4 linked regions of the Tamandua tetradactyla genome follow. The protein of the gene in region 3 interacts with the protein of the main gene of each other region in a pairwise test. Links are inferred from orthologs where the notes say so. Each region holds a gene or a part of one and is shown on either strand. Other genes may lie near its edges. The genes, in order: KAT5, MOS, CCDC136 and NEBL.

Evidence for each region.
Region 1: the proteins of CCDC136 (region 3) and KAT5 interact in binary tests that used the Homo sapiens proteins (3 or more experiments, as listed by UniProt). The two-hybrid records come from large-scale screens. The link is inferred for Tamandua tetradactyla from reciprocal best matches to the Homo sapiens genes CCDC136 and KAT5.
Region 2: the proteins of CCDC136 (region 3) and MOS interact in binary tests that used the Homo sapiens proteins (3 or more experiments, as listed by UniProt). The two-hybrid records come from large-scale screens. The link is inferred for Tamandua tetradactyla from reciprocal best matches to the Homo sapiens genes CCDC136 and MOS.
Region 4: the proteins of CCDC136 (region 3) and NEBL interact in a two-hybrid assay, tested with the Homo sapiens proteins (2 studies listed by BioGRID and IntAct). The two-hybrid records come from large-scale screens. The link is inferred for Tamandua tetradactyla from reciprocal best matches to the Homo sapiens genes CCDC136 and NEBL.

What each region holds. Positions count from the first base shown.
Region 1 is NC_135335.1:8,814,760-8,822,372, reverse strand, and holds the start of KAT5 (histone acetyltransferase KAT5), read left to right. Parts: upstream 1-4,612; 5' UTR 4,613-4,661; coding exon 4,662-4,735; intron 4,736-7,613. UniProt on the Homo sapiens protein: Catalytic subunit of the NuA4 histone acetyltransferase complex, a multiprotein complex involved in transcriptional activation of select genes principally by acetylation of nucleosomal histones H2A and H4.
Region 2 is NC_135332.1:99,783,594-99,789,261, reverse strand, and holds MOS (proto-oncogene serine/threonine-protein kinase mos), read left to right. Parts: upstream 1-4,092; coding exon 4,093-5,145; downstream 5,146-5,668.
Region 3 is NC_135327.1:170,216,947-170,224,417, reverse strand, and holds the start of CCDC136 (coiled-coil domain-containing protein 136), read right to left. Parts: upstream 3,024-7,471; 5' UTR 3,009-3,023; coding exon 2,951-3,008; intron 2,195-2,950; coding exon 2,087-2,194; intron 498-2,086; coding exon 246-497; intron 163-245; coding exon 88-162; intron 1-87. UniProt on the Homo sapiens protein: May play a role in acrosome formation in spermatogenesis and in fertilization.
Region 4 is NC_135327.1:229,742,413-229,750,355, reverse strand, and holds the start of NEBL (nebulette), read right to left. Parts: upstream 3,022-7,943; 5' UTR 2,813-3,021; coding exon 2,732-2,812; intron 2,576-2,731; coding exon 2,504-2,575; intron 1-2,503. UniProt on the Homo sapiens protein: Binds to actin and plays an important role in the assembly of the Z-disk. May functionally link sarcomeric actin to the desmin intermediate filaments in the heart muscle sarcomeres.

The sequences.
Region 1 (7,613 bases), on a different chromosome or scaffold from region 3:
GGTTTCTGCTGAGAAATCTACACATAGTCTTCTTGGGTTTCCCTTGTATGTGATGGATTGTATTTCTCTTGCTGCTTTCAAGATCCTCTCTTTCTCTTTGACCTCTGACATTCTAACTAGTAAGTGTCTTGGAGAACGCCTATTTGGGTCTATTCTCTTTGGGGTGCGCTGCACTTCTTGGATCCGTAATTTTAGGTCTTTCATAAGAGTTGGGAAATTTTCAGTGATAATTTCTTCCATTAGTTTTTCTCCTCCTTTTCCCTTCTCTTCTCCTTCTGGGACACCCACAACACGTATATTTGTGCAGTTCATATTGTCCTTGAGTTCTCTGATACCCTGTTCAAATTTTTCCATTCTTTTCCTGATATTTTCTGTTTCTTTTTGGAATTCAGATGTTCCATCCTCCAAATCACTAATTCTATTTTCTGTCTCTTTAAATCTATCATTGTAGGTATCCATTGTTTTTTCTATCTTTTCTACTTTATCCTTCACTTCCATAAGTTCTGTGATTTGTTTTTTCAGTTTTTCTATTTCTTCTTTATGTTCAGCCCATGTCCTCTTCATGTCCTCCCTCAATTTATCGATTTCATTTTTGAAGAGGTTTTCCATTTCTGTTCGTATATTCAGCATTAGTTGTCTCAGCTCTTGTATCTCATTTGAACTATTGGTTTGTTCCTTTGACTGGGTCATATTCTCAATCTTCTGAGCGTGGACAGTTATCTTCTGCTGCTGGCATCTGGGCATTTAGTCAGATTTCCCTGGGTGTCGGACCCAACAAGGTTGTAAGATTTTTCTGTGAAATCTCTGGGTTCTGTTTTTCTTATCCTGCCCAGTAGGTGGCACTCGTGGCACACGTTTGTCTGCGGGTCCCACCAGTAAAAGTTGCTGTGGGTCCTTTAACTTTGGAAAACTCTCGCCGTCCGGGAGGTTCGCCAGCCGAAGCGGCTTGGAAGAGTGCCAGCTGGCCCGGGGTCCGAACGCGGGGAGGGTTGCTGGCCGCCGCCGCCTGGGAAAGCGCCCGTCCGAATTTCCTAGTCGGCCCAGGGTGCCAAGCTTGGCGGGAGGGCGCCAGTGGCAGCGGCCCGCCCGGGAGAGTGCACGTTCCCGGGGAGTCACGGGTTTGGAAGGGCCCCCCCCCCCGTCGCCGTTCTCCGCGGCCTGGGGATTTCCGATCCAATTCTCTCAGTTGGTCCGGGGGTCCGCACGTGATGTGGGCGCCAGCCGCCGCGGTTTGAGGGGACCGCCTGTCCAATTCTCCCAGCCGACCCGGGGAGGGGGCAGGGAGTGACTCTGGCCGCTTGCCGCCCGGTGAAGCCCGCGCCCCTCGGCGATCTCACCAGAGCGGGTTCTCTTAGCCAGCCAGCCGTTCCAGGATGGGGTACGCTGTCTTTTTTATCTCTGTCGTGGCTTTGGGAGCTGTTCTGTATCGCTTCTACTCCCCTAGTAGCTGTCCTGGAGGAGAAACTAAGATCCGCGCGTCTTACTAAGCCGCCATCTTCTCCGGAAGTCTCCAATTGCTTTCTTTTTTTGAGTATATAGCTGTTAGTTTTTTTGTTTTGTTTACATTTTCCTTCCACTTCTCATTCAAATTTCTCTTAAGAGGTGTCTCTTTGTGCTGCTTCCATTTCCTTGCCTCCCTCACACTCTGGCTTCTTCCTGTCCCCATGTCTGCAAGGAACTCCTCTCTGGGCTCTGTGAAGAACACCCCGCTGTCCACTCCAGCAGGCATTTTCCAGGCCTTTCTGCCATCTGTGCAGGGGATCCCCAGATCCAAGCCTTCCCTGTGGGCCCTCTGCCCAGCTCAGGCTCTCGGCCCCACAACCTTCTGGACATCCCCACTTTGAATCTAGCAAGCTCAACCACCTCACATCATTTGCAAAATACAAGGCTGTGTTCAGTTTTTCCATAAAGGGACTGTGATTTATTAGAATAAAGATTCTCCTTCCAAAGTAACTGAGACTCCCAGAGATCTTGGGTCTAGATGGAGAACTGCTAGCCCCCAACAGGCCAAGATCCCTATCTTTCTCTCACCACATTTTGTCATTCCTCAAGCTCCTGCCCCCTTCAGCCCTTGCCTCCACAGCTGCAAAAACTTTCTAGTTAGACTCAGGTCTCCACTCGATTGAGCCGTGTCCCCAATAATCCTTATTCACTCAGCTCACCTTTCTAAAACTTGAATCAGATAACACCATTCCTTTGCTCCGAATTCCCCAATGGCTCCCACTGCCTTTAAAGCAAAACATGGCTTTGATACAAGTGCCACAAAGGGCCCTGTGAACTCTCAGACCTCTGGATTATCCTCTGGGACTGTCTCCCTATTCACATTCGCTTCTCTCGTTCTTGGAATAAATGAACTACCCCCACCCTCCCTGGCTTCTGCACTGGCCATTCCTTCCCAGTGGGATCTCACCTTCCCCAGATCTTCTAATGCTGTCCCTTTTCATCATTAAGAACTCAGGTCACATGTTCTCCTTCAAGGGACATCCTGGCTGCCTCCTAACAGCCACTCCACTCTCCCCCATCCAGCAGCTACTGTGTTGATGTGACTGACCCACCCCAGCTATGCGAGTCAAAGCCAGTCAGGGTAGCCCTAGGCCCTTGATCACAGAAACTGGCTGAGACATTGGCAAATTCCCTAAGATGGTTCAACCCAAGGGGAGTTCAGGACTTTCCTGCCATAGCTGGGAAAGAGATTTCTCACTGGACATGACCATGGACACAGGTGGGTGGCCTTGGAGCTGTGGGCTGCAATCTTGCAACTGTAAAGGGGAGTCGGCCTTAATGTGGAAGAAAGGCAACCCCAAGGAGTTGGGAGTGGGAAGACATAAAGAAACCTGAGTTGCTGGTGACACTGTTGAGTCCGGGGATGACACCCTTCCTAAAGCTTCATTGTGCCTTTGGGCTTCATGGGACAAGACAGTCCCTGATTAGTCCAGCTTGAATGGGGCTTTGTGCTACTTGCAGGGGGAGCAATTTTGACAGACAGCTGTCCCAGAGACCTAGAGACCTGCACTGGCAGCCCCACCCTCTCTGACATTCTGTTTTATCATTTCACAGCACTTTTTGCAAACGATCATTTTTGTTTTGTTTTATTGAATTGTTTATGTCTGTCCCAATAAAGCAGGCACCTCATCTGTTTTCACTCATGTTGCTGTCCCAGGGTGTGGCACACAGTTGGTGCTCGATTAATATTGGTGCCCAAAACCAATATTCATGTGTTAACTTGGCCATGTGGTGGTGCCCGGCTGTCTGGTAGGGCAAGCGCTGGCCTGTCTGTTGCTATGAGAACATTTTGTGGACTTAAATCATGATCACATTGGCTGCACCCATAGTTGATTGCATTTATAATCAGCTAAGATGAGCGCCTTTTGAAATGAGGGTGCTTAATCTAATCACCGGAAGGCTTTTAAGGGGGATTCAGAAGAGACAGTCACTCTTCCTTCCTGCTTCAGCCAGTGAGCCTCTCCTGTGGAATTTGTCCAGACCCTTCATTGGAGCCACCAGCTTCACAACCTGCCCCATGGACCTTGGACTCTTACACTTCCATGGTTGTCCAGCCAGGCTTTCCTGAGAGTTCGTTGAGGACCTCATTGGAGTTGCCAGCTTGCAACCTTAGACTTTACATTCCCATAGTTACATGAGACATTTTATAAATTTTATATCTATCTCCTGCTGATTCTGTTTCTCTAGAGAACTCTACCTGATACAGCCCCCAACCCCTTTCTATAGCTAACAACCACCCATCCTCTAAGCCTTAGGTCAGGCATTGGAAGCTCCAAGACCCCTCCCTATATGCCACCTGGATCAGCATCTCTCCTGAGCCCCGGGTTGCCCACCTTACAGGATTAACTCCTGTCTGCCATAAATGTCAGTTCACATCCCTGGCTCTTCTTCAATGTCAGGTGCTTCATCCATTTGACAAGTTTTAGCTGGATGCCTCCTGTGAGTGTGACACTATTCTAGAAGCTGGGAAAATAGTGGAGGACAAAACAATAGAAACACTGCCTTCATCCCAGAGTGGGAAAGACAAACCAAATGAATAAGGAAAATGTATGATTTGATAGCTGGGGATAAATGCTCTGAAAAAAAAAATGAAGTGGATGAGGAATACAGGGTGGAGGGGAGCGTGGGGACAGGTTTAGCTGGGGATGTGAAAGAAGACCTCATTGGAAAGGGGGCCGTTTTGGTTTCCGGAGCTGCTTAAGCAAATACCATGCAAAGGGCTGGCTTAAACAATGGCATTTCAACAGCTCATAGTTTTGAGGTTAAGAAAAAGTCCAAATCAAGGCATCATCAGGGCAATGGTTTCTCCCAGAAGCCTGTGGCATTCTGGGGCTGGCTGCTGGAGATCCACGGTGCTGGGCTTCTCTGTCACGTGAAAATGCCTGTGGCGTCCTCTCCTAGTGTGCTGGTCTGAATCCGTGGTGGACCCCAGAAAAGCCATGCCCTTTGATCCTCATTCAATATTGCTGGGTGGGAGCATTTTGATTGTTTCCATGAAGATGTGACCCACCCATTTGTGGGTGGTAACCTTTGATTAGATGATTTCCATGGAGGTGTGTCTCCACCCACTGAAGGTGGAGTTGCTTGCTGGAATCCCTTAAAAGAGGAAACATTTTGGAGAGAGTCCCTTTTTGGTAGAGCCACGAGAAAGCCAGCAGATGCCGCCATGTTCGCCATGTGCCCTTCCAGCTGAGAGAGAAACGTTGAACGTCGTCGGCCTTCTTGAACCAAGGTATCTTTCTCCGGATGCCTTAAATTGGACATTTCTATAGACTTGTTTTAATTGAGACATTTTCTTGGCCTTAGAACTGTAAACAAGCAACTTACTAAGTTCCCCTTTTAAAGAGCCATTCCGTTTCTGGTATATTGCATTCCGGCAGCTAGTAAACTCGAACACCCACCATCTCAGTTCTCTTTTAGCTTCTGGTGAGTTCTAGCTTCTTACTTCCTCTGGCTTTCTCTTTTAATGTCTGAATTTCATTCTGCTTGTAAGATATAGATAGGATTAAGACCCATTCTGATCGAGCTGGGCCACGCTTTCACTGAAGTCACCTCCCCCAAAGATGTTACTTACAATGGGTTTGCACCACAGGAATGGATTCAGTTTGAGAACATGCTTTTCTGGTACTTACAGCTCTGAACCACCACAGTGCCTTTTTTTTTTTTTTTTTTTTTTTTTTTTTTTTTGGTGCATGGCCCAGGAATCGAACCTGGGTTTCCTGCATAGAAGGTGAGCATTCTACGCTGAGCCATCCATGCACCCCACAGTGACTCTTGAGCAAGGACTTGTATGATGTGAGGGTGTGAGCCCCGTAGACAAATGGAGAGAAAATGTTGCAGGCAGAGGAAACAGCAAAGGCAATGGGGGAGGTAGGCGCTTCCTGTGCCCCAGAAACAGCAAGGAGGCCGGTGTGGCTGGAGTGGGTGACGGTGGGGAAAGATGAGGTCAGAGTGGTAACTTGTGTGTGTGGGGGGAGATGAATTTGTGCAAGGACTCTGAATTTTACTCTGAATAAGCGGGAAACCACGGGTGGGTTTGGATCATCAAAGGGACGTGGTGTCAATTATATTTTTAAAGTTCCCTCCTCTCCTGCGTATGAGGCTATTGCAGTAGTCCTGGGTGCATCTGGGTGATAATGGTGAAAGCAGTGAGAGGATGTGCTGATGGGTTGACTGCAAACCAAGCAGAGAAATCAGGGATGACTTTAAGGTGTTTGGTCTGAGCACATGGAAGGATGGATTCGTGACTGACACGGACAAGAGAGATGGTGGGACAAGCAGGTTGGGAATGAAAATCAAGGGTTTGGTTTTGGACACGCCCTTCAGACATCCAAGTGGAGATGGTGAGTGCGCACTGAGTCTGGAGATCACGGGAGAGGTCTGGGCTGAAGATATAAATGTGAGAAACCTCAGCAAGTGAATAATACTGAAAGCCATGAGCCTGGAGGGGATCAAGAAGGGAGCAAGTGTAGATAAAAGTCCAGGAAGAGGACCCAGCAACGGAGATGAGGAGTGGCAGAGGAAGGAGGAAGGAAACCAGAAGAGTGTCGTAGCCCAGACGCCAAGAAAAGGGTGTTTCAAGGAAGAGGGAATGGCCAATGGTACCAAATGCCACTGAGAAGCGGCCATTAGATTAGACGTGTGGATGGGAGGGGCTGTCACGAATGACCTTGGCCAAGAGGCAGGGCTGAAATCTGCCTGAAGTTGATTCGTGGCAGACTCTCAATAAACATTGTCTGCATCAGTGAATGACCAATTTCAACTGCCTTCCTTTCGGTCTCCCTTTCTGTTCTGACTGCCCCAATTCTGGGACACCGCCACCAGGTGATCTCAGCACAGATGCAGTCTTTCCCCAAATACAACTTCAAAGCAAACCCTGGTGGGATGAACATGTGAACAACTGGCATAAGGATCATCTTTGTGGGATCGTTTGCAATAGGAGAAATTGGACACAACACGAAACTGGCTATGACAGCTAAGAGGCATCTAAGACAACAAAACACTGAAAAGCCATTAAAATAGTGCTTCAGATACCTCACAAGGCTTCAAGTTTACACTGCTAAGTGAACAAGCTGATAACAGCAGAGTGCACACAAGAAGAAACTATTTTTGTGTTGATCAGAAAATAAAGCAGGGGTTGACTAATGGTTTCTGTAAAAGGCCAGACAATAAATATTTTAGGTTTTGTGGGCCTTGTACTCAGTTTTAGAGTGAAGAGAATCAAAGACAATATATGAACGATGAAAGTGGCTATGTTCCGATAATACTTTATGGACCCTGAATTCTGAATTTCATATAATTCATGCAATTTCACACAATGTTCATGAGCCACAAAAGTTCTTTTGTTTTTTTTCCCCAATATTTAAAAAAATTAAAATCCTTCTTAGCTCATAGGCTGTAGGAAAGCAAGCAGTGGGTTGGATTCGGGCTGGTGGCCACCATTTATCCACCTTTGCTTTACCGGAGAGTCAAAATGTTCACGGTGTCCATTGCCCCGTGATGATGTGAGTTTGGGCTTTCTACTCCCTTACTGTGGTCTGTGTTTTGGAATATTTTCCCCTCAGATATGTGCATGGCTCATTCCCTCACCCCTTAAAATCTTGGCTCAAATAATACATTGTAAGCCACCTGCCCAAAGCACTCTAAAATTGCAACTAAACTTTAAAACTTACATTGCTCGATTTCTTTTTTGTTTTCCATCAGTTATCACTCTTTAATATCCTAAACGATTTATTTTTTCACTGTGTTTAGTATTTACTATTTCTATCGCAAAAAATGTAAGCTCCATCAGGGCAGGGGTCTATTTTGTTCGCTGATGTACTCCAGACTCTTCGAATAGTGCCTGACACATGGAAGGGACTCGCCATATATTTTTGGAGTATATGAATGAATAATCCACACATCACTCTCTAAAATCAGAAACCTAATATGCAAAAGAACAAATCTAGACATCTTTGTAAGTCCTCATCTCTAAGGGACGAAGGCCACATATTTGGCCCGGCATGCAAGGCCCTTCCCAGTTTGAGTCCCACCCACTTCTCCAGCCGGGAATAGCTGCCGCCCCCTCTCTAGACCCCCTAGGTCCGCTCAGACACTGCACGCCCCCGCCG
Region 2 (5,668 bases), on a different chromosome or scaffold from region 3:
TATCACTTTCTCACAGACTTTTTTAAAAATCCCAGATGTTTTGAATCAACTCCACTCTTGTCTTTGTCTGGGTATGATGTGAGGTTATCACATTTGATCAGATTAATGTACACCTGTAGCAGTTTTAGTCCATAACAGTAATGTGACATGCTTTTCTATCTTTAACATCAGAAATAAAATTTTAAAGCAGAAAAATGCTCCAAGTAAAATTTAAATTGGGTTAATGCAATGTTACCCTACAGTCCTGGTAGAATAACTTTTAAACCAATACTGTCTAACGGACTGTGAAAGTTTGAAAAGGTTTGTGTACCCTAGAAAACCATGTTTTAATCTTAATCCCATTTTGTAAAGGCAGCTGTTTCTTCTAATCCCTATTCAGTGCTGTATGTTAAAAACTTTAATTAGATCATCTCCCTGGAGATGTGACTCAATCAAGAGTGGTTGTTAAACTGGAATAGGTGGAGACATGTCTCCACCCATTCTAGGTGGGTCTTGATTACTTTACTGGAATTTTATAAAAGAGAGGAGATTCAGAGAGATCTGGGAAGGATGACAGAACGCTGCAGAATGACATAGCCATGAGAAGCAGAGAGTCCAACTGCCAGCAACCTTTGGAGATGAAGAAGGAAAATGCCTCCAGGGAGCTTAATGAAACAGGAAGCCAAAGAGGAAGCTAGCAGATGATGCCGTGTTCGACATGTGCCCTTCCAGCCAAGAGACAAACCCTGACCGTGTTCACCATGTGCCTTTCCACTTGAAAAAGAAACCCTGAACTTTATTGACCTTCTTGAACCAAAGTATCTTTCCCTGGATGCCTCAGATTGGACATTTCTATAGACTTGTTTCAATCAGGACATTTTCTTGGCCTTAGAACTATAAACCAGCAACTTATTAAATTCCCCTTTTTAAAAGGCATTCCATTTCTGTCATATTGCATTCCCTCAGCTAGCAAACTAGAACACAGATGTTTGTTTCTTAAGGGTATAAATCCACACAGATTATTTTTTATGAGTTTTGTAATAATAACATTTATGTGTTACCATAAGCCGGGCCCTGATCTAAGTATTTGAAACTGTTCATCTTCACAGCAAACCTGAAGTCAGTAGAATATTTTCCAGGTGAGGAAACTGAGGCACAGAGACAATAAGAAACCTGGGTCATGTGACCCTAAAACCTTTGTTCTTTATGACCTGGTTTGGGCTTTATCCATTTTGGAGATACAAAATATTATATATAATACTTTAAATTATATAATATTATATATCTGTACATATATACATGGTAACAAAATCAGGATTAAAATTAAACTTTAATTAAGAACTTTTATGTACTAGGTACTGTGCTACTCACAGGAGAGAAAAAAATCTCTAAGGGACATAATTCCTGTCTTCAGGGCAATTATAGTTTACAGAGAAAGAGAAACAAATTTTAAGATGCCTAAAAAAAAGGAAAACAAATGGCTATTTTAAAAATGGATATTCAATTAAATATTCTTGGACAATTTGGCAGGTGACAGATCTAGTGGATTTAGAGTTCATGCGTGTATAGATTACCACATTTTCCATAGTACCTCACATTTTATGTGAAAAAGTCAGACTCTAAACTTTGAAAAAATTGTTTATGCTACTACCTTAGAAATAAAGATTACATGATAACAAGTCACATGATCTTAAATCATAAGTAGTAGCTAGAAAGTGTAATGTCTATCGCTCTTATTCTGCTACTATTTGCAGCACTCCAGCATGTTACAACAATTTCAGAACCTTCATATTCATGGTTATTACAATTCCAAATAGATGATGGCTATTAAGTCAGTTTAGCAATTAGACCTATTATAGGATATAGTTTTATTACTTTCTTATTTAACTCTGTTTTAGTTTGTAAGCTGCTGGATTGCAATATACCAGAAATGGAATGGCTATTAAAAAGAGAATTTACTAAGCTGCAAGTTTACAGTTCTGAGGCCATGAAAATGTCCTTAGAGGCACCAAAAAGAGGTTACCTTCACTCAAGATAGGCTATTGCCATCCAGAACACTCCTGTCAGCTGGGAAGTCACGTGACTGGCATCTCCTGGGGTCTTTGGGTGTTGGATACCTCTCTCAGCTGGGAAGGTACACAAATATCTGCTAGCGTTCTCTCCTCATTTCATAAGGCTTCACCCGCGGTGCCTTCCTTTCACATCTCCAAAAGGTCTCTGGCTGTGTGGGCTCTGTTAATTCTGTTGGCTCTAAGAATTTTTCCAAAATGGTTCCCTTTTAAAGAACTCTATAAGCAACCCCATTTGAATGGGTGAAGACAGATTTCCGTGGAAACCATCTAATCAAATTTACCATCCACAATTGGGTGGGTCACATATCCAAGGAAACAATCAAAAAGATCACACCCAGCAATACTGAATGAGGATTAAAGGATGTGATTTTTCTGGTGTACATAATAGCTTCAAACCCACACAACTCTGTTCATTGTTGTTTTGGTTTGCTCTCATCCTCTTATATTTGGGGTTCAGTACAATTGCATACAACTGTAGTTCTACTAAAATATTCTATAGTTTAATGTTTAGATTTTGTTTTATTGTTGTTAATCTGGACAGGATTCCCCAATTTTTATTCCAAGATGATAATGTTTATTTTAATATTGAATATTATCCTAATTTCTTACATGAAAAGATTGAGGCTCATACAGGTTTAATCTAATACCCAACATCATATACTAAACCAGAGGAGTAGCACGGAATAAACATCCTATTCTAAAAAGGACTTAATTTCAAATTACATATGTAAATGAGCCATGTTTCTTAACGTATCTTCTCAGAACCAACATATTTCAGAAGCAGAGAAGAGCTATTTTCATAGAAATGTGCTTGCATATCACTTATGTGCTTTTAGCACTGAGTATCAGAATGGAACTTTATTATTTGACAGAAAATACAGATCCTAACATTCTCATGTGTTTTGTAATGGATAGGGTAATACTGTTTATCATTTTCCCAAGGATATGGTATGAAAATTACTTTTTCATTATGAAACTTAGAAAGGAAGAACTTATGGTTGGGTTGCAAGACCCTGAATTATATTTCAAAATCTGATTTTCCGCATTCTGTATAGGCACCAGTGAGTCCGTGCTATCTTTTTATCTTCAGAGTTTCCTCTTCTAGAATTCTCCTGTACTTATTATTTGAAGCTCTGATCATGACTCTGAGCCTTTTTTGTTCTGCCCCTGATTCTGCTTCAAAACTTCTGTAACTCATTTGCTGCAAAGTCTAGAATCTCTCTTGTAAGTGAGCTTTCTGGGTGGGCCGAATTGCTATGGAATGGGAGGACTGCTGGGAAGTTGATATGTTGCTAAAATCTTGCTAATTTGCCATATAAGCAGAATAGAGTGTCCGAGAATTTTCCTTTTCCCTGATGAACTTAGGAGGTGTGTGTTCTGAGCTGGACAGTGCTTCTATTTGGATCAATTACTCCAAGATTACAACTTTTATCCATATGAATGTGGCACCTAATTATCCCTGTAATCGGTTAAGGAAATGTCTGCTGTTTGTCTTTCAACTCTTTCTGCCAATAACTGCTGGAAGTTATTTGATGCAGCTGGAGAAGAACACTGACAATCAGAGTCTGCAAAGTGTGAAATAATTTCATTTTACTATTGTGGTCTCTTTAGTCTCAGGTCTGATAATGTTCAGCCGATGAGACTTGGAAAAAGCTCATTTTGCTATAATTGAAGAAAAGTGTCACAGAGGGGGAGCTGTGGGGCAGCTCCATGCTGTTTATATGGTGAGCTCTTCCTGAGAGCTTGCTTTTATAAGAATTCACTTAAGTGTTTAAGGGAAATGCTTTCATCTGAAGGTGATTGTTGTGCTTCCTTCAGATTTTTCCCCTATCCGATTAAACACACACACACACACACACACACACACAAAACACCCTGGCTGTGCAAAGGCACACAGATGTGGCTCATTTGGAGACAATGAAGGGAGAGGATAAAGAGGCTGTGGCGCCGGGAAGGCCTGGTCAATCATGCATCCAAGCTGGCGCAGCCCTTTCTTTCCTCTGCGTCCATCTGGGTCCCGGGTCTCCACCCTGAAGGCGCCATGCCCTCACCTCTCCCTCTGCGCCGTTGCCTGCCTGGAGAGCTGTCGCCCTCGGTGGACTCGCGGCCCTGCAGTAGCCCCTCGGAGCGCCCAGGTAAGGCAGGGAGGCTCTTCTGGGGTGGCACCCCGCCCAGGGCGCCGCGGCTGCCACGCCGGCTGGCCTGGTGCTCCATTGACTGGGAACAAGTGTGCTTCCTCCGGAGACTGGGAGCTGGCGGGTTCGGCTCGGTTTACAAGGCCACTTACCACGGTGTGCCCGTGGCGGTGAAGCAGGTGAACAGGTGCACCAAGAACCGCCTGGCATCGCAGCGAAGCTTCTGGGCTGAGCTCAACATAGCCAGGCTCCGGCACGACAACATCGTTCAGGTGGTGGCGGCCAGTACGCGCACGCCTGCGGGCTGCGATAGCCTGGGCACCATCATCATGGAGTTCGGGGGCAATACCACTTTGCACCAAGTCATCTACGGCGCGCCCCACCACCGTGGGGACGAGGAGGAGCCTCGCTGCCGGACCGGGGAGCAATTGAGTTTGGGAAGGTGCCTGAAGTATTCCCTAGATGTGGTGAACGGCCTGATTTTCCTCCACTCGCAAAGAATCGTGCACTTGGACCTCAAGCCGGCTAACATTTTGATCAGTGAGCAGGACGTCTGCAAAATCGGTGACTTTGGCTGCTCCGAGAAGCTGGAAGGCCTGCTGTGCCTCCAGCCCCCACGGTGCCCCCTGGGTGGCACATACACGCACCGAGCCCCGGAGCTCCTGAAAGGAGAGGCGGCCACCCCCAAAGCAGACATCTACTCCTTCGCCATAACCCTATGGCAAATGGCCACCAAGGAGGTGCCCTACTCGGGGGAACGACAGCACGTGGTCTATGCAGTCGTGGCCTATAACTTGCGCCCCTCTCTGTCCGCGGCGGTCTTCACGAACTCGGTCCCGGGTGGGAGACTGGAGTGTATCATTGAAGGCTGCTGGGCGCCCAGCGCTGTCCAGCGGCCAAGTGCAGAGCTCCTCTTTGCGGACCTTAGCTCTTTAAAGGCTGAGTTCGCCTGGCTTTGAACTTGCTTCCAGAGAAGCTTTTCCCTTTATTTCTATTCATTTTTTAAAGAAGTGGCGTTGTAGAAAACTATTTGTAAGACAGGTTTTTAGAAAATAAAGTGACTTAATAACTTCTTTAGTCTAACATGGTTTTACCAAGACAAACAGGCAGGACTAAAATTTGAGCAATTGTGTAGAAACTACCGTTATTCCTTTCTGCAGTTAGTTTGCTTGTGTTCACAGTTAGCACAGTTAGTACAGTTAGTACAGTTATTCAGATTTGCTGTTGACAAAACCAGGTTGTGCAGAACAGAATGGAACTGCAGAAATGCCAAAATTTTCTATGCATTCGAACAGTATGTACCATACCCACCATCTAACTTCAAATGGTCAAATTCAAACTGTCACAAATTACTGGTCCTATGCCAAATCCATAAAGACTTTTTTTAAAGTTATTTTTTTCTACTTCCTCCTCTAAAATAGCATTCTCATTTGTAAGGACCCTCACACATAATATTCAGGAATTGAAACTAATTTCAGTTCA
Region 3 (7,471 bases):
CTGCCATGCTTCAAACTGTCAGGGGAAAAGTACTTGAATGGTAACATAGGTGGCCACCGGCCCTCCAGTCCTAGACCTGAAAGTTACCTTGGAGCTGCTGGATCTGCTTGGTGAACACCTCTGCCTGCTGGGCACTGGCCAGCCGCTCATCCTCCAGGAGACCTGCAGAGAGAGGAAGGAACAGAGTCAGACAGGAGCACAGCACCTTTGAGCCCAGGCCCTCAGTTCCCGACACAAGCACTCACCCTGCAGCTCCAAGGAGTCATCCTCATGCTGCCCGGCCAGTTCCCGGGTCTCCTCCAGCTCTGCCACCAGCTGGAGTACCTGAGCCCTCAGCTCCTCCAGCTCCGTCTCCGTGAGGCTTAGGCCCCGGTGCTTGCCAATCGACAGGGAACCCACACTGCCACCTTTCTGCTCTTGTTCTTCCTCTTCTTCCACCTCTTCTTCCTCCTCTTCCTCCTCCTCCTCTTCATAGAGAGCTGGGAGTAATACCTCCCCTGGGAGAGATGTCCATCTCATCAGAGTAAGAGCCAACTGCTTTCCCACAGTCCTTTAAGCCCTCAAACTCACTACCCCAAGGCAGAGATAGTATAATAGTGCCATCTGGTGTCCCCCACAGAGGGACAGGACCCAAGCTCATGATGAGTCATTGGGTGTGAGTGTCAAGTTTGGAGGTAGCGCTTCCCAGGCCCTTTGCACCTGCACCATCCTACCACTGCCTTTGGGCAAGTGGATTAGCCTGCTGCTGGCTCAGTCACGTGCAGCTTGCACAAGATACTTGGTTCTTCTAATCCTGATCTTTGGATAGTGGGACAAGTGGCCAAGAAAGAATTCAGACACTGTGCATGTCTTTAGGTCGAATGAGGCAAGAGTTATGCTTCAGAATTTGTAGACAGTTAAAAAATTATCTGGGTGGCTTGTGAAAAATTAGTCTTTCTATAATAAGAAAGCATTTCAGTAAGAAAAAACATCCAAATAAAATGATTCATAGTGTTTTACTGGACAAACTTTGGGGCCCTATCAAACGTTATGTTATTAAGTAGCTTTTTTGAAGTTTTCGACAAGGCTGACTCAGCCTTCTTTTCCCTGCTGGATGCCATGAGGTCTCCTCTCCTCTACCTGAGTGTTATGACGCCCCACCTCCTCCCTTGCTGACCATAAGGCAGTTCTCAGGGGAAGTCTTAGATTGTCCTTGTGTGTAAAACAAAGCTCATCATTTTAGTGCATTAAGAACTTGGGGTGATAGAGCCTCAGTCTCTGGCTAGTAAGCATCCCCTCCTTACTGCAATGCAGTTACTCTAAATAACAAACTCTTGTCTAGATAGTGATCGTTTGCTTTGTTTTAAATCCCTGAATCTCTGGTCTTATTTTCTCCAATCAGCATCCTGAGGTTCACCTGGGTCCCCTTGCATCATCTGTTCCTGTTGGGGACAGCAGGGTATGCAGAGGGGCCTGGGGACACTTCACAGGAAGTCCTGAAAAACAGACCAGTGTCTTTCCAGGGGACAGTGTGGGCCGCACCTGACAAATCACATGCGTGTGGTGGGATGTTGGCCCTCTCATCTGCTCCCTTCCTAGGCCCTCTCTTTCAGGCAGTAATCTGTCCTAGAGAACCAACGCCACAAAGCTTCCATCAGAAGTTGATGGTGGTGGCACCAGAAAGACAGCTCAGATGCCCACCCCCTAATTTTTTTTTTTTTTTCCGCATGGGCAGGCACCAGGACTCAAACCCAAGTCTCTGGTATGGCAGGCGAGAATAAGGCGAGTCACCACTTATCACTGGGTGGGTAAGCAGTGATAATAACCCCCTGCTGAAAGGCTGCGTCAGAGCTCTGACCAAGCAAGGCCTCTTTCTTTGTCTGCCAGCTCCCCTGGGACACACAGCCTGGTTAACGAGGTGACAGAAGCCCCAGAGGGAGGCACCCTGGATTTCCCTTTAAAGCCTGAGCCCTGGGGAGAGGGCTGAGGTGAACTGAGGAAGGGCTGTGTCCCACTTGGGAGCTCTAGGGGTCAGAGAGGAAGTGAAAGGGAAGGGAAATTGGGCGTGTGTTGGGGGATGGGGTGGAAGCCTTTCGGGAAAACTCACCCTCCATAGCTTGCATTCCTCGGCGTTCCAGGGACCCCCAACGTTGGCCTCTCTTCCTCTCACAACCCTCGGACCCCTCATAGGAGCCTAAAGTAGTTACTGTTGGTCCTGTGCACAGTGAGAGGAGGGATTGTGGAATGTGAGGGCTTGCTGGGGGCTGGGGTGAAGGGAGAAAGATAGAGGGACATGCCATCTAACCCTTTGGAGCCCTGGGATTTTTAATCCCAGTGGAGGCCCCTGACTCACTCTTGTCCAGCTCTGCAACTCGACCGCCCTACCTGGGGCGCGCTCACACTCGGGCTGCCAGAACCCCCAGCTCTGTACTGCCCAACCTCATCCGCACCTCCTCCTTTAAGCTCCTCTGTCTTGCACAGTCAGAAAGAGGGTGTGTATATATTTAGCCCGGAAGGGATAGGGAGGAGGTAGGCAAGATAGAAGAGTCTAAAAGGCTGATGTGGCGAAAGGAAGGGGATGGAGGTGATGGGGGAGAGGGCTAGGGGAGGGAGCTGGGGCCGCTCCCATTCTCTCAGGGGACCTCGTCCCTCCCTCCTTCGCCCCGCACTCCGGAGCCTCCGGGGCCATTGGGTGTTCAGGGTCTGGGCACCCAGGGGCTGTGAGTATTATCGGGGCTGGAGAGGCCAAATGGAGAGGACTCAGGGGATGGACTGCCAGGGAGGATGCGGCCAGTGTGTGGAAAATGGAGACCGGGGCCCGGGGGGAGGACCAGGATGGAGGGAGGAAGACTTAGGGAGGAAAGGTGAGGAGCAGAGGAAGGAGGAAGGGAGGACCTGGTGGTCTAGAGGGAGGAGAGATGGAGACGAGGAAGGAGTGGCGGTGGTGAGCAGGGAGGGGGGCGGCTCTGACCTGGGCCCGGGCAGCTCCAGCCCGCGGCTCCCGCGCCGGCCCCGGCGCCCGCCTCCATGGCCGCTCCCTCAGCAGCCGCCGCCGCCCGGAGAAGAAGCCGCAGCCGCAACCGCCGCCGGAGAGGCCGGGGACCCGGAGCCCGGAGCGCCGGGAGGAGGGAGGGCGGGCCGAGGGGGCGGGCCCTGGCTGGACCACCTGACGCCGAGCCCGGCCGGCTCCGCCCGGAAGCCCGCCCCCCCGGCCGGCTCCGTGACTGGGCGAAGCGAGCGGGCGCGGCAAGGCGGGCGAGCCCCTCCGACACGCCCCGGTTCCCGCGCTCAGGGAGAACCCGGAGCCGCCGGGCCCGGACCCCCGACGCAAGCCAGCCGGAGCTTACGGGCTGCCACGAGTGGGAGCCACGAGTGGGAGCCACAAGCTCCGCTGCTTCTCGCGGTGGGCCCTGCCCCGAGTCGATTGCGCGCGGGGGTCCCTGTGCGCCCTGTGTCGGAGCCCGGTCCCGTTCAGTGGTGGTGGAGGGAAAAGGCAAGGATGGATGAATCCTCCCGGCCTGTTTCCTCCAAGCGCGCAGACACTCGCGCACACTCCCCACCCTCCCTCACCAAGGAGGCCCCGCGCCCTCCACGTCCCCGCCGTCAGCGCCGACCCGGGTCCGGGGCGCGGGTTCCCGCGCTGCAGGCCGCGACTTGCTGGCCCCAGCCCAGCGCCCTGGCCTCTCGCGCCCCAGCGCAGCCCGCTGTCGGGAGGAGGGAAATTGAGGCCGGGATATGCCAACAGCGGGGCCGGATTCACTTTGCCTTCCCCGAGCTCTCAGCAAGCCTGAGCCAGGGGCCTTTTTAGTAGGGGCTCCTTAGTGACCCCACTTGGCCCTCCTCTCCCTGCTGCCACTCCCATGGGCCTCGAGTCACGTCTCCTACCCCGCCCGGCAGCGTGCTCAGAGTGAGCAGTGCTGATTTTCACCCTCATAGAAAGGTTTGGAAGCCAGTGGGCATATGTCAATTATTCAATCATTGATTTAAGGAATGTTTACATCTTCTCTTCAGGTCTCAACCCCAAAAGAAGTGAGGACACTTCCCAGCACGTTCAGAAAATTGTTGGGAAATTCCTAAGCTGGGAAGACCACCAGTCTCTTCCCTTGCTTAGCCCCTCACACTGGCCCTGGACGTATATTGTCTGTGTTCACTCCTACAGGTTCCCAGGTTCCCAAGTCCTCCGTATCTGAACATTCTGTTTCACAGAAAGTAAGCCTTTCCTTCGTTTACTTTCCACCCCTCAGTTTGGAGTCACCTCTAGGCAGCCTTCCCTGAGGCCCCGGGCTACCCCAGGGAGGTGCCTTCTGTGTTCTCCGGTAATACCCGGTCCTCCTTTCCTCTGTTGCAGCACCAGTCATTCTGGGTTGTCAGAATCTGGTTTTTACATTTCTATCTGCCCAATGTCTTGAAGGTAGGGAAGTATCTTAAGTCTTCTTTGTATCTCCAGCACCTGACAAAACGCCTGATAAAAAGGAAAAAACTAATTAAGGTAAATCTCCCAAATTTACCATTAATGCCCCTGTCTTATCATGGAGCATAAGACTTCACACTTACAGGGTTAAATGTTGTCTAGAAATGCTGTAAGTCTGTTCATCTCTCTTTCACCCTTCTCCCCACCCCCAATTGTGGTTCTCAGAGATGAGGAACAGAGAGATCCAGGGTGTTTTCCTGAAGAGTTTGTGGGTAAGGTGACCCAGTCTTGGGAAAAGACTGCTGAGAAAGCCCACCTGCACCCCTTCTAGAGGGCCAGGTGCAGACATCAGGCCTGTCCAGATTTGAGGAGCTGGGCTTTTGTCAGGGGTGGTGGAAAGGAGCTGGCAGTGGTAGTGGGATGCATAGAAGCCCTGGGAATGATGGAGACTCCTGCTGGAAGCCGGATGACTGCGCATTCTTCCCTGCACACTCCTTGTTCCAGCTCAGCCCGCAGGGTCAAGTTAGCAGTTGGCCTTGACTACTGACTGTGACACTCTAATCTCTCCTCAGGGAGGGCTGCTGATTCTGAGGATCAGGACTAATCTCTCTCTGGCTTCTGGTTCCCCTTAATTTGGGAATACTCAGAGGAAACCAAAACCAGTCTATTCTCAGGACCTAAACTTGGGCAAAACCTGGCCAGACCAGTACTGGGTTGAAGGTGGGAGAGGGTTTAGGAGGCAGAAGAAAAGGGTTTAGCAGGTATGGGTGTGGGGAGGGGGAGATGGACTGTGGTCCAGGGGTGCATCTCAGAAGAGCCCAGGAGTGTTGGAATGTCAGCCAGATGATCATCTTGGGCTGGGGGTGGAGGTTGTATGATCCAAATTAATCCTTGTAATCCCTGGATTCAGGACTCACTTCCTTCCTAATCCCATCCCAGCAGATCAGCCTTCCTGAGGACTGATAGAGCCATTTATCCCCTTTCCCCTTATTTCTAAATGCCTAGATCCTTTCATTAAAAAAAAGAAAAGGTGTAAACATTCAAAACATGCAGAAAATTACAGTAAAAAGAATAATATAACTAATATCCCTGTGAATAGGGTGAAATTCATGAGTGAATTTCATGAGTGAAATCCAACAAGTGTTAATATCTTTTCATTCAGAGGCAGCCTTTCTGTATGTGTTTTTACAGCTTTACTGTATATGTGTGTATCCACAAACAATACATAGTATTGATTTGTATGATTAAAAACTCTAAATGGTGTTATACTGTACACATTCTTCCTCAAACCTCCTTCTCTTCCCTCAATATTTATTTTAGATTTGTCCGTGTTTTTATACATATTCTTCCAATTCATGAATTTCAACTGCTGCATACTATTTCATTTTTTAATATACCATAATTTACTTCTTTATTCTTCTGCTCTTGGACATTTAGGCTACCTCCAGTATTCCATATTATAAATAATGCTGCAATGGACAGTATTGTGGATGCCTCCTTGGATATATGTGAGTATTTCTCTAGAATAGATACCTAGAAGTGGAAGTTCCAAGTCATAGATTATGTACATCTTAAACTTTGCTTTTATTGCCAACTTACTCTATAAAGTAGTTGGACCAATTTATACTCCACCAAAGGAGGCTTACTTTCTTTTTTTTGTCCCTAACCTCTACTGATTTGGAAATTTACACATTCTATTTCTACTGTTGTAGGATTACTTTTTTCATTTGTTTGTTTGTTTGTTTTTTTAGTGATTACCTTTTAATATATATTTTTAACAATCTTAAATCTAAGGTGAATCAATCATTATTATCATCATCTGCCTGAGTAACATAAAGACCTTAGTAGAGTTAATTCTGCTCTTTCCCTATGATCTGCCACATTTCTATTTAGTATTTTACCTTGTTTCTAATCCCCATTAATTGTTGATGTTGTGGTGGTGGTGATTATTATTATTATCATCTCTGGGGTTAGTGATTATTTGGATTTACTAACATATTTATACATTTCTTTGTTCATCATTGCTTCTCGCACCTCATTCCTTTCTTCTTGGTTCAGTTTCTTTCTTATGGAGGCTATTCTAAGGTAGCATTTAAGTAAAAGTCTTTGAGCGGTAAGCATTTTCAGTCTTTTGTCTTAAAGTGTCTTTATTTTACATCCTGGAAAAGATAATTAAGTGGGCTTAGAACTCTATGTTTACAGTTCTTTTGGCTTTTTGAAGATATTCATTTTTTCTATAATTTTTCATTGCTAATAAGAAGTTGGCTGCCAATATAATTGTTTTCTTGGTTGGCGAATATTTTCTTTCTGGTTGATTTTAAGATTTTCTCTTCCTTTTCAGCATTCTGCATTTTTACCCCAATGTGTTTATGTGATTGGGACTTGGTTTATTTTCTCAACTTGAGGACCTGTGTTTTTCTTCCATTTTGGAAAATTCTCAACTGTTTTCTATTGGAATATTACATTTCCCCTATTCTCTCAGTCTCTTTCAGTAACTTTTATTAGATATATATTATACTTTCTCGTTCTTTCCCTCTTTCTTTGAACTATTCTTTCATATTTCCTATGCCATCACTTACCCACATTTTGAATGATTTCATCACCTCTATTTTCTTTAATTGAATTCTTTCTTTAATTGAATCTAATCTGCTATTAAATGCATCAAGTTTTAGTTTCAATGGTTGATTTTCGTTTCTTGACATTTTATTAGTTTTTTTCAAAAACCTGCCTTTTTTCATAGTGCCTTAGTTTTACATTACAGTTAATTTTCCTCCCTTTATTTTTTCTTTTTATGTTCTACATTATAGGAAATTTCAAAATTATATGAATGTAGGAATACAATATTGAACATCCATCATCCAACTTCAATAATTATAAACTCACAGGAAATCTTGTTTCATCTAGAACTCCATCCGAAGTCCACCTCAAATATTTTTAAGCAAATCCTAGATTTCATCTATATTTCTTTTAAAAAACCTAACCATAAATAATATCAAATAACCAGCTGGCTGATTCGAATGATTTAAGTAAGACCCATACCTTGTAACTGGTTGCTATCTTACTTTAACCTCCTTCATTGAA
Region 4 (7,943 bases), about 60 Mb from region 3:
GAGTGGGGAGGACGTGGCGGACACAGGGCTGTGGCCCATCTCCAGTGATCAAGCTCATCTCCAAGCCCAAGTCTGGGGCGCACCAGCCGAGCGTCTGGACAAGCAGGACTGTGAGGCTGCTTCCGGAAGCTTCCAGATGCCACACTCTAGAAAGGAGGGAAACCACAACCCAATTCATGCAAAAAAACAGACAAAAACCAAAAGTGACTTCCAACCCCAGAAAGGCTCAGGCAAACAGACGGACGGTATTTGGGGACACGGTGGATTACCAAACAAGCCCTCACTTGAAGGTGTGCTGAGCTTTCAGTTTGGGCCAGGGAAGGAGAGGCGCACAGTTTCAACGCGGGGCCCTGGGAGGGGCGTCACGCAGGCCTGGCTGAGCGCAGTGGGTCTCCCTCGGGTTTCACTCCACGATGAACATAGCACCAAGTACACACTTCTGACAACCATTCAGCCGAGAGGACAACATTCTGGACAACATAAGAACTCAATGTCTAAGTCCCCCTGCTCCATATAAACAATGATGATACTGAGACCAAATAAGGAACTTACTATTTAGTAACACTGTTTAACCAGTCTTTTAAAAAACCAACATTTTATTTAGTTCAAGTCCTTCCAGAAAGGATAAATGAAAATGCATCTTTAAATGATTGTACTTACACCCGATATACTCACTCCTTTTTTCATTTTTTTAACAAAGAAGAATTTTTAGACTGTGCACAGATAAATATAAAATTCTAAAAATTAAAGCAGTGCCTTCTTCACAAGGACAGAATTCTATTTTGAGACAGAAAGTACAAATGAAAACTGATATAAATTGATTCACAACAGTCATGCGCTAAATGTTTGATATTTGTGTATCCAAATATTTAAATATAAAATATTTAAACATACATTCTGCCACACCGAGCTGTAAGTAGAAAGCACTGCCGTGTGTGTGATTTCATCCACATGAGAGGGACTTCAGCTTTTACAAAATGGTAAGGTCAGAGCCTTTCACTGCAGGGCTGATTTTAAAGTCACTGATAAACTATGTTACCCAAAATAACTCCCACAAAATCACCTCCTAACTGAAGCTGTCACTTTAGTTTTAGGCATGACAACCCTACTGTACCTGTCTGTGGAGAGTTTGGGCATTTAAGGTTTTCAAGGTGACACTAGTGTCCTTAATACTAGCACAATACAGCAAGCAGCCTCAGCTGCGGGGGCTGGGGGTCGGGGTCTGCTCCCCACTGCTGAACTGCGTGACCCCTCAGAGCCTCCCTCCCTCACCTCCGAAAGGGGATTTAACACACCCTTCTCCCCAGGCCCCAGCACCCTGGAAGTCTCAGTTATTGCATCATCATGGCGGTCTCCTCATTCTTGTTACAGTATACGGCGAATGCTCACGATCGACACATTGGGACTAACTGACAGCACAAAGAAACAGTTTAAAATGTCACTACAACCGCGCGAAGGATAGAAGGATATGGGAACGGTGCTGAGACCCCTCCCCCCACTGTTTCTGACAACCTAGGGGCACCGCAGGGCCACAGCCACACTCAGGAAGCCCCCCCAGGGCGCGTGCACTGCGCGCTTGGGGTCCCCAGCCTGGAAGGCACGGCCGCGTGGTTCTTACTCTCACGGGGTTCCAGGTGAGGCCCTGAGCCCGGGAGGCCACGGGACCCCACCCCATCCCCACCCAAGATTACAACCAGGTCCACCCAGGCAGGCCGGTGCAGCCATCCCCCCACCCCGCCCGTTACCCATGGGCTGCCAGGTAACGGGAGTAAATGAGGCTGGGGGTGCCTTACACCCACCGTTTTAAAGAGGGTGACCTAAACCCTCGCCCTCGGCAAGCACACCTGTCTGTGAGCTTCTGCAATTCTCATCTATGTATTTACTGTAACTATATCTGCGTTAAATAATGCTATAATTCTGTGGTTCCCTTGAAACATAATATAAACTGATCCCAGTTACTTTAAAAATCGTTACAAAAAATGCTGCTTTTTTACTAAAGTCACTGTCATCTGTTCCAGGGCTCTCAGCCTGCAGTGTGGGAACCCCTGGATCCTAAGTTGTAAATAAACGTTGCGCATATAGGCATACGCGTTTTTCTGGTTAGGGGAACCACTGCATTCATCATTAGATTCTTCAAAGGCCCCCAAAACGTTTTTAAAAATCACTAATTTAGATAGAGATCCTCCCAAAACATATTACATCATTATACACATATTTTTTTTTAATCTTTGGGTTCGCACAGGGAATATGCTCTGAAATTCAATGCTTTATGATTTCATGCCAGAGGGACAGTGAAATCCACAACAGACAGGATTCTGGCCAGGGAATGAGGAGACCTGCTCCCGCAGGGGGTCTTGGGGAAGTCATTTGAAATTTCTGGACTTAGTTCCATAGCTGGTAAATAACAGAGAATTTCAAGAGTTTCTCCCAGCCCCAGGATTCCATGCATCCTAGTGCCTCACACACAACGCAAAATACGACAGAAATCACTGGAGCCACTCACATCACTGTTCAGTTTGGTGCATTTTCTGGCCAATTCCATGCGTAGGTCTTCAATTACAGGCTTCCAGAACACCTGTCAATAGAGAGAGAGAGAGAGAGAGAGAGAGAGAGAGAGAGAGAGAGAGAGAGAGAGAGAGAGAGAGAGAGAGAGGCAAGTAAAGGAAACCTGTTCATCTTTGGCTTTGAGAGAGCCACGCAAAGACCTCTCAGCAGGCATCCCCTCACTCACCATGTCATCTTCGTTCTCCTCCCCCCCTGCGTTTTCTTCTTCAGTTCCATCTTTTAAATCCTCACATACCGGGACCTTCATAGTGACCCTTTTAAAACCTACGTATTTGTTAAATTCACTCGTGCTTGCCTTTTCGTGGCCGGTGGGCTTTGCAGCCTTGTGCTCTGGTGTCCTGGTACAAATGACCTTGCCCAGGCCTCACCCCGCTTTAGCTCACACTTCACCTCCTTATCTCAACTCCGCGCCAGTGGCCGGGACGAGAGGCCTCCACCCGCCAGGCCAGCCCCATGAGCAGACAAAATGGAGTGCTGTGACGTATAAAGCCAGCATTCTTTAAATTGGCTAAGAAACCCAAAGGGGAAAATGGATGCACGTCTCACTAATGCACGAAACATTCATAAAATAGTGTGAAAAGGACACAAAGCTTATGGGAACACTGCCGAGCTGGGACACTGGAGCTCTCGCAGTGGAACACAGGGTTATCTCAAAGACCCTCAAAACGCCACCTAAATAAAGCTTTTGCTGGAATGTCAGACAAAGCTCTGTTCTGGTGCGCTGGATCCGAACTTCTGAAACTCATTTCACTGCCCGGCATTAAAACGTGAATGAGACACGCATGTACTTCCCACATTCTGAAAACACCCACGTCATATCAGCTGATAATATTATTTTCATAATTTACTGTAAGCCCTCCGAACCAGTTCTAAAAATAAAAAATCTATCCTGAGTTAACTGTGACAGTTAATCTTATATTAGTTTGTTTTACATCATTTTAATTGCAAACCTCATTACACATAAGAAACTGCAGGTAACATATGTTTTTTATATCATTTAAGGATTCTAGAAATGTCACCATCTCAAACCTGCTCATGTGTCAATTTTTCTTAATTCTCTAGTTATTTATGTATTCCAATGTGTACCACACTTGGAAATATAAACATCAACTATAACAATATCTATAATGTATCATCAACCATATAATAAAAAAATTTCTCAGAACAAACTCCAAGTCTCCACACAGCTCATAACTTGTACATTCAGTTATTTAATCCTAGGGTAAATTAAGGTTTGCAAAACTACAGCATATCCTGCTGAACATTAAAAAATGCCCTATAGTGAATAATGAAACCAATTATATAAAATACAACATTATTCAAAATAATACATCAGCAAAATAGCCAAGCACAGTGGTGCTTTCTCTTGCTATTAAATCCAGATATCAAGTTACTAAAAAATATTTTCCTTGATCTTGCCTAAACTGAAAATTCTGGCAAAAAAAAATCTACACAATCATTATTTACAGATTATTTCTCAGATTGTATTCCATGGGCAAAAGTTCCAGAAAATACTCTGTGAAAAAACAGGGGTTCTATCAACAATCTTTGGAGACCTATACACTAAATCTTTACTGAGACCACTTTGAGCTCCACACCACATTAGAAGCTCTGAGAAGACTCAAGACCAAGAAACCGATGTGGTTTTACTTACCTCCACATTTCCCAAACGTGAAATCCTTTGATTTTTTTTTTTTTTAACATTCTCTCTATGCTAACGACATGGAATGCTCTGGAACTGCTTTTGGTCTTTTCATGATACTGGTTTTGATACTGGCTCATCTAATAGCATCACAGATCCTACTGACCAGCAAAACATCAAAAGAGAAACTGCCAGAAAGTCTTGAAGTTGGAGAACTTCACTTGGAAAGAACAGGTGTGTCACATCTGCCCAGCACAGCGACTGCAACCAGGAGCTTCTCTGTCCCACAAAGCAGCAGGTGGGGTGAATTCTGACTGTCCCCTCAAGAACTCTGCCAGATGATTATTCTAATATCCTATTGAACACCCGTGCTATTACTGCTTCTGGACAATAGGAAATAGACATTGTACAAGCTTTTCTTGCAACCTCTAGAGGGATAAGGAGAAAATCTCGCCAACGCTGCCTAGGACACAGCCTTGGCTCGTGTTGGAGAGGAGATGCTTGTGCGGCTCAGGGAAAGATCTCAGCCCCATAACGCATTACCTTCCTCAGGTTCATCCACGGTTCTTTTCGGATTCCCCATCATGTTCTTATGGTCTCTCCATCTCTGCTGGAAGAACATAACCTGTTGAGATTTAATGCAGAAAAGTCTTGAAAGCAAAATCAAATGCCAACATGTAATGTGAAAGCAATTTTAAATAAGTCTATTTGAGATTTTAGAATCACAATTCAACACCAGAGGGATCCCTAAGAAATCATTCCACCTTGAGTTCTCTCTTTGCAGAGCAGAAAATTAAGGTCCACAGAAATGGTCTGTAAGTCTCACTTGCAAAAGTTGTTCAACTGAGTGCTGGGAGCAGAACCTAACTTGCTCATTCTTTCAACAATGTTGTGTTGTCAGGCCCTGAGCTCAGTACTGGGAGGCAAGGGGGAGACACTCAAACTTTCCACCCAGAGAAGGTAGGAAATAAAAGAGCCGTCATTGAAGATGGCTGGATAAACTCCTTCTGGGCTGTTTGGCAAGCTGGAGACGCCGTTACTTTTGACTAAATGCACCTTCCTTCCTTCCACCTACAAGTAACATACAAAATCCACATAAAGTTTCCTCCAAAAAAATAGGTCAAGTGTTTTTTCACAGCAAATCGCTCTTATTAATAGCTCCAAAATATGACTTGGGGAATAAGAAGAAATTAGCTTTGAAGGAGCGCCATCATGTTTCAAAATTCCCTATCACCTTTTTGTTTTTTCAAAACCAAGATCAATGTTGCAATTTTGTAACCAAGAAGTTAGGATTTAAGGGATGATTATGATTATCAAATCATTTTATAGATATTCCTTTTTACTTTCTGGTATATTAGAGTAGACAAAGGAAAATACCTGAAATCTCTGAACTTCAACCCAGCTGCCTTGACCTCTGATAATGAAAGTTTAGCCTTTATCTTGTGCCCTTGTGATTATAAAAACCTTATGAATGACTCTCACTTGTACCCATTTTATCCAGTTTTTTTTACTTTGGAGTCTTGTGATCACTAAAGACAGCCCCAGAAGTTTATTAATAAAGGGCCTTGGGTCTGCCCAGAACTAACCCACCCAATACCAAAGTTACCTTGAGAACAAAGACCGGATCTAACCAAAGTGGGCCTGGCATGCGCAGGAGTTCAGACTTTAACCTACAAGTCACCTGACCTCATTATAATAAAATCATGCCCACCACACATGAAGGCCTTTTTCCCACAGACTTTCTGTGATGAAGCGTGTGATCAATCTGCACATCCTCAGTAGTTAGATCACCTCTAATTACACTACATGATGTCTGATCCTAAACCCTGCCCATCTTTCAATTCTACAAAACTATCCGAGTTACTGGGTTGGAGGAGAGAGGTCTTCGGGCTCACTGACCATCTGAGCTCCTGCTTCGTGCCCAGCAGTAAACTCTCTTTGAAACGCCGGCGTCTCAGGAATGGGTCATTTGAGTGCGTCCGGTGGGGGGCGGGGGGGAGAATGTACCACCTCTGCCAGGTATTAATCTGATACATATTTTCACCTTGGAGCACCCCAAAAAAGATCACCCATGTAGCACCTACTACCTTTTTCTTAATGAGGATTTCAAGCATTCTGTCTACTTTTTACCTTCGTGCTCCACCCCAGCTCTGACCTGGAATGACAGGGAGATGGGGCTCCATTCCTGTGGCCTCGGGATAAATGATTTAATCCCCTCGGTCCCCAGTTCTGCACAGTTAAACAGAAAACAGAACTGCTGTCAGTCAATAAAAGAAAACCCCTTTGAGAAGAGTAAAGACCCTTACAAAGACAAGAGTTTTCAACTACCCCATAAGGACACAGAGTTCCAGAGAAGCCCTTGAGGGGAAAGGGGAAGGGTCTTCTCATTTAAAAGGGAGACAGGGACCATCAACGTCTCTTCAAAGGCACGGGAGGCTTCCTACAACCAGACAGCACAGAAATAACAGGCAGCTGAAGACTTAGAACACAGGGCTCTTGTATTTTTTTATAGCAAGGCGTTGTTTTGTAAGGAAATACATTTCCATAGCAACTGCAGAACCGTGGGTAGTTCAGGTTTCTGGAGACCCCACACCTGGCCCAGGAAACTCATCCATCCCACAACCAGGGGCAAACGAGCACCTGACTGTCTTCCTTCAGCTTTTTTCTTAAGGTCACAGGCTACAAGATTCTCCCAGCTCCTGATAAAGACCGCGGACTTCACTCACTTCCGTGTGTTCCCTGTTCCCCTCACAGTGTGGGACACGTGCTTTTCCCAGCACAGTGAGGTCCGCCTTGGAAAGGAGAGCCCTAACGGAGGCGGCAGCAGCTCGGGATTCAGCATGGGGCTGAGGAAAACTTACAGGAATAAAACTGGTTTTTTTTCTTTTCCATTTAAAAATTAATTCAACATTTCTTAGTACAAAATATTCACCCTAGATAGTCAGCTGGGAGAGAAATTAGTCATCTGACCTCTTTTCCTGCTTTGATGGTCTTTCACACACTCAGTTTTAGCAGCCTTTTTTAAAAATGTAAGATTATGCTCCAGAAGGCTGGTGCTTCTCAGGCTATTTATCCTCCCACTTTGGCATCTGCCCCAAAGAGAGCTTTTACTAACGGATGGGAGAGGGAGACTGTCCTTAAGAAAAGAAACAGCAAGCATTCTAGGGCAATTTATTTCCTTTTTAAAAGAGAAGATTTCTGCCTGATATTAGATCAATCTATTTTTGCAATCTACATTCATTAAGCATACCTTCTCTTTTTAATAGCTATGTCATTACTGTTTGTTAATTAGAAATCAAAAGAATACAAAGTAACCCAATTAATCACCAATTATGCTGTTAAAATAAGATTTAATAGAGTGCTTTTCAGTATTTATATTCCTATTTTTCCCAACCAGAAACCCAATTCAAAAATGAGAACTTCCTATTTAAACTGCCATTGGAGGAGGAGGAGGAGAAGAAAAGAAACAGCAGCTAATTTTTAGCACAGCAGTTTCCAGGCTGGGAGTGTCTGGGGTGCGAAAATGAAGAGTCTGCACTCCTCCAAACACACCGAGAGAAAAAACGTTCGTACTCGGCGCACACATTAACACAGACGCCCAGTGGACTGGAAGACTTTTGGTTTAAGATGCAACTTACTGAGATACAGTGCAGTTGAAATAACAAGGACAGTGACGCTAACTCCGTAATCACACGAGACCCTCCCCCCGAAAGAGCCGGGGGCTCGGCGGGCGGGC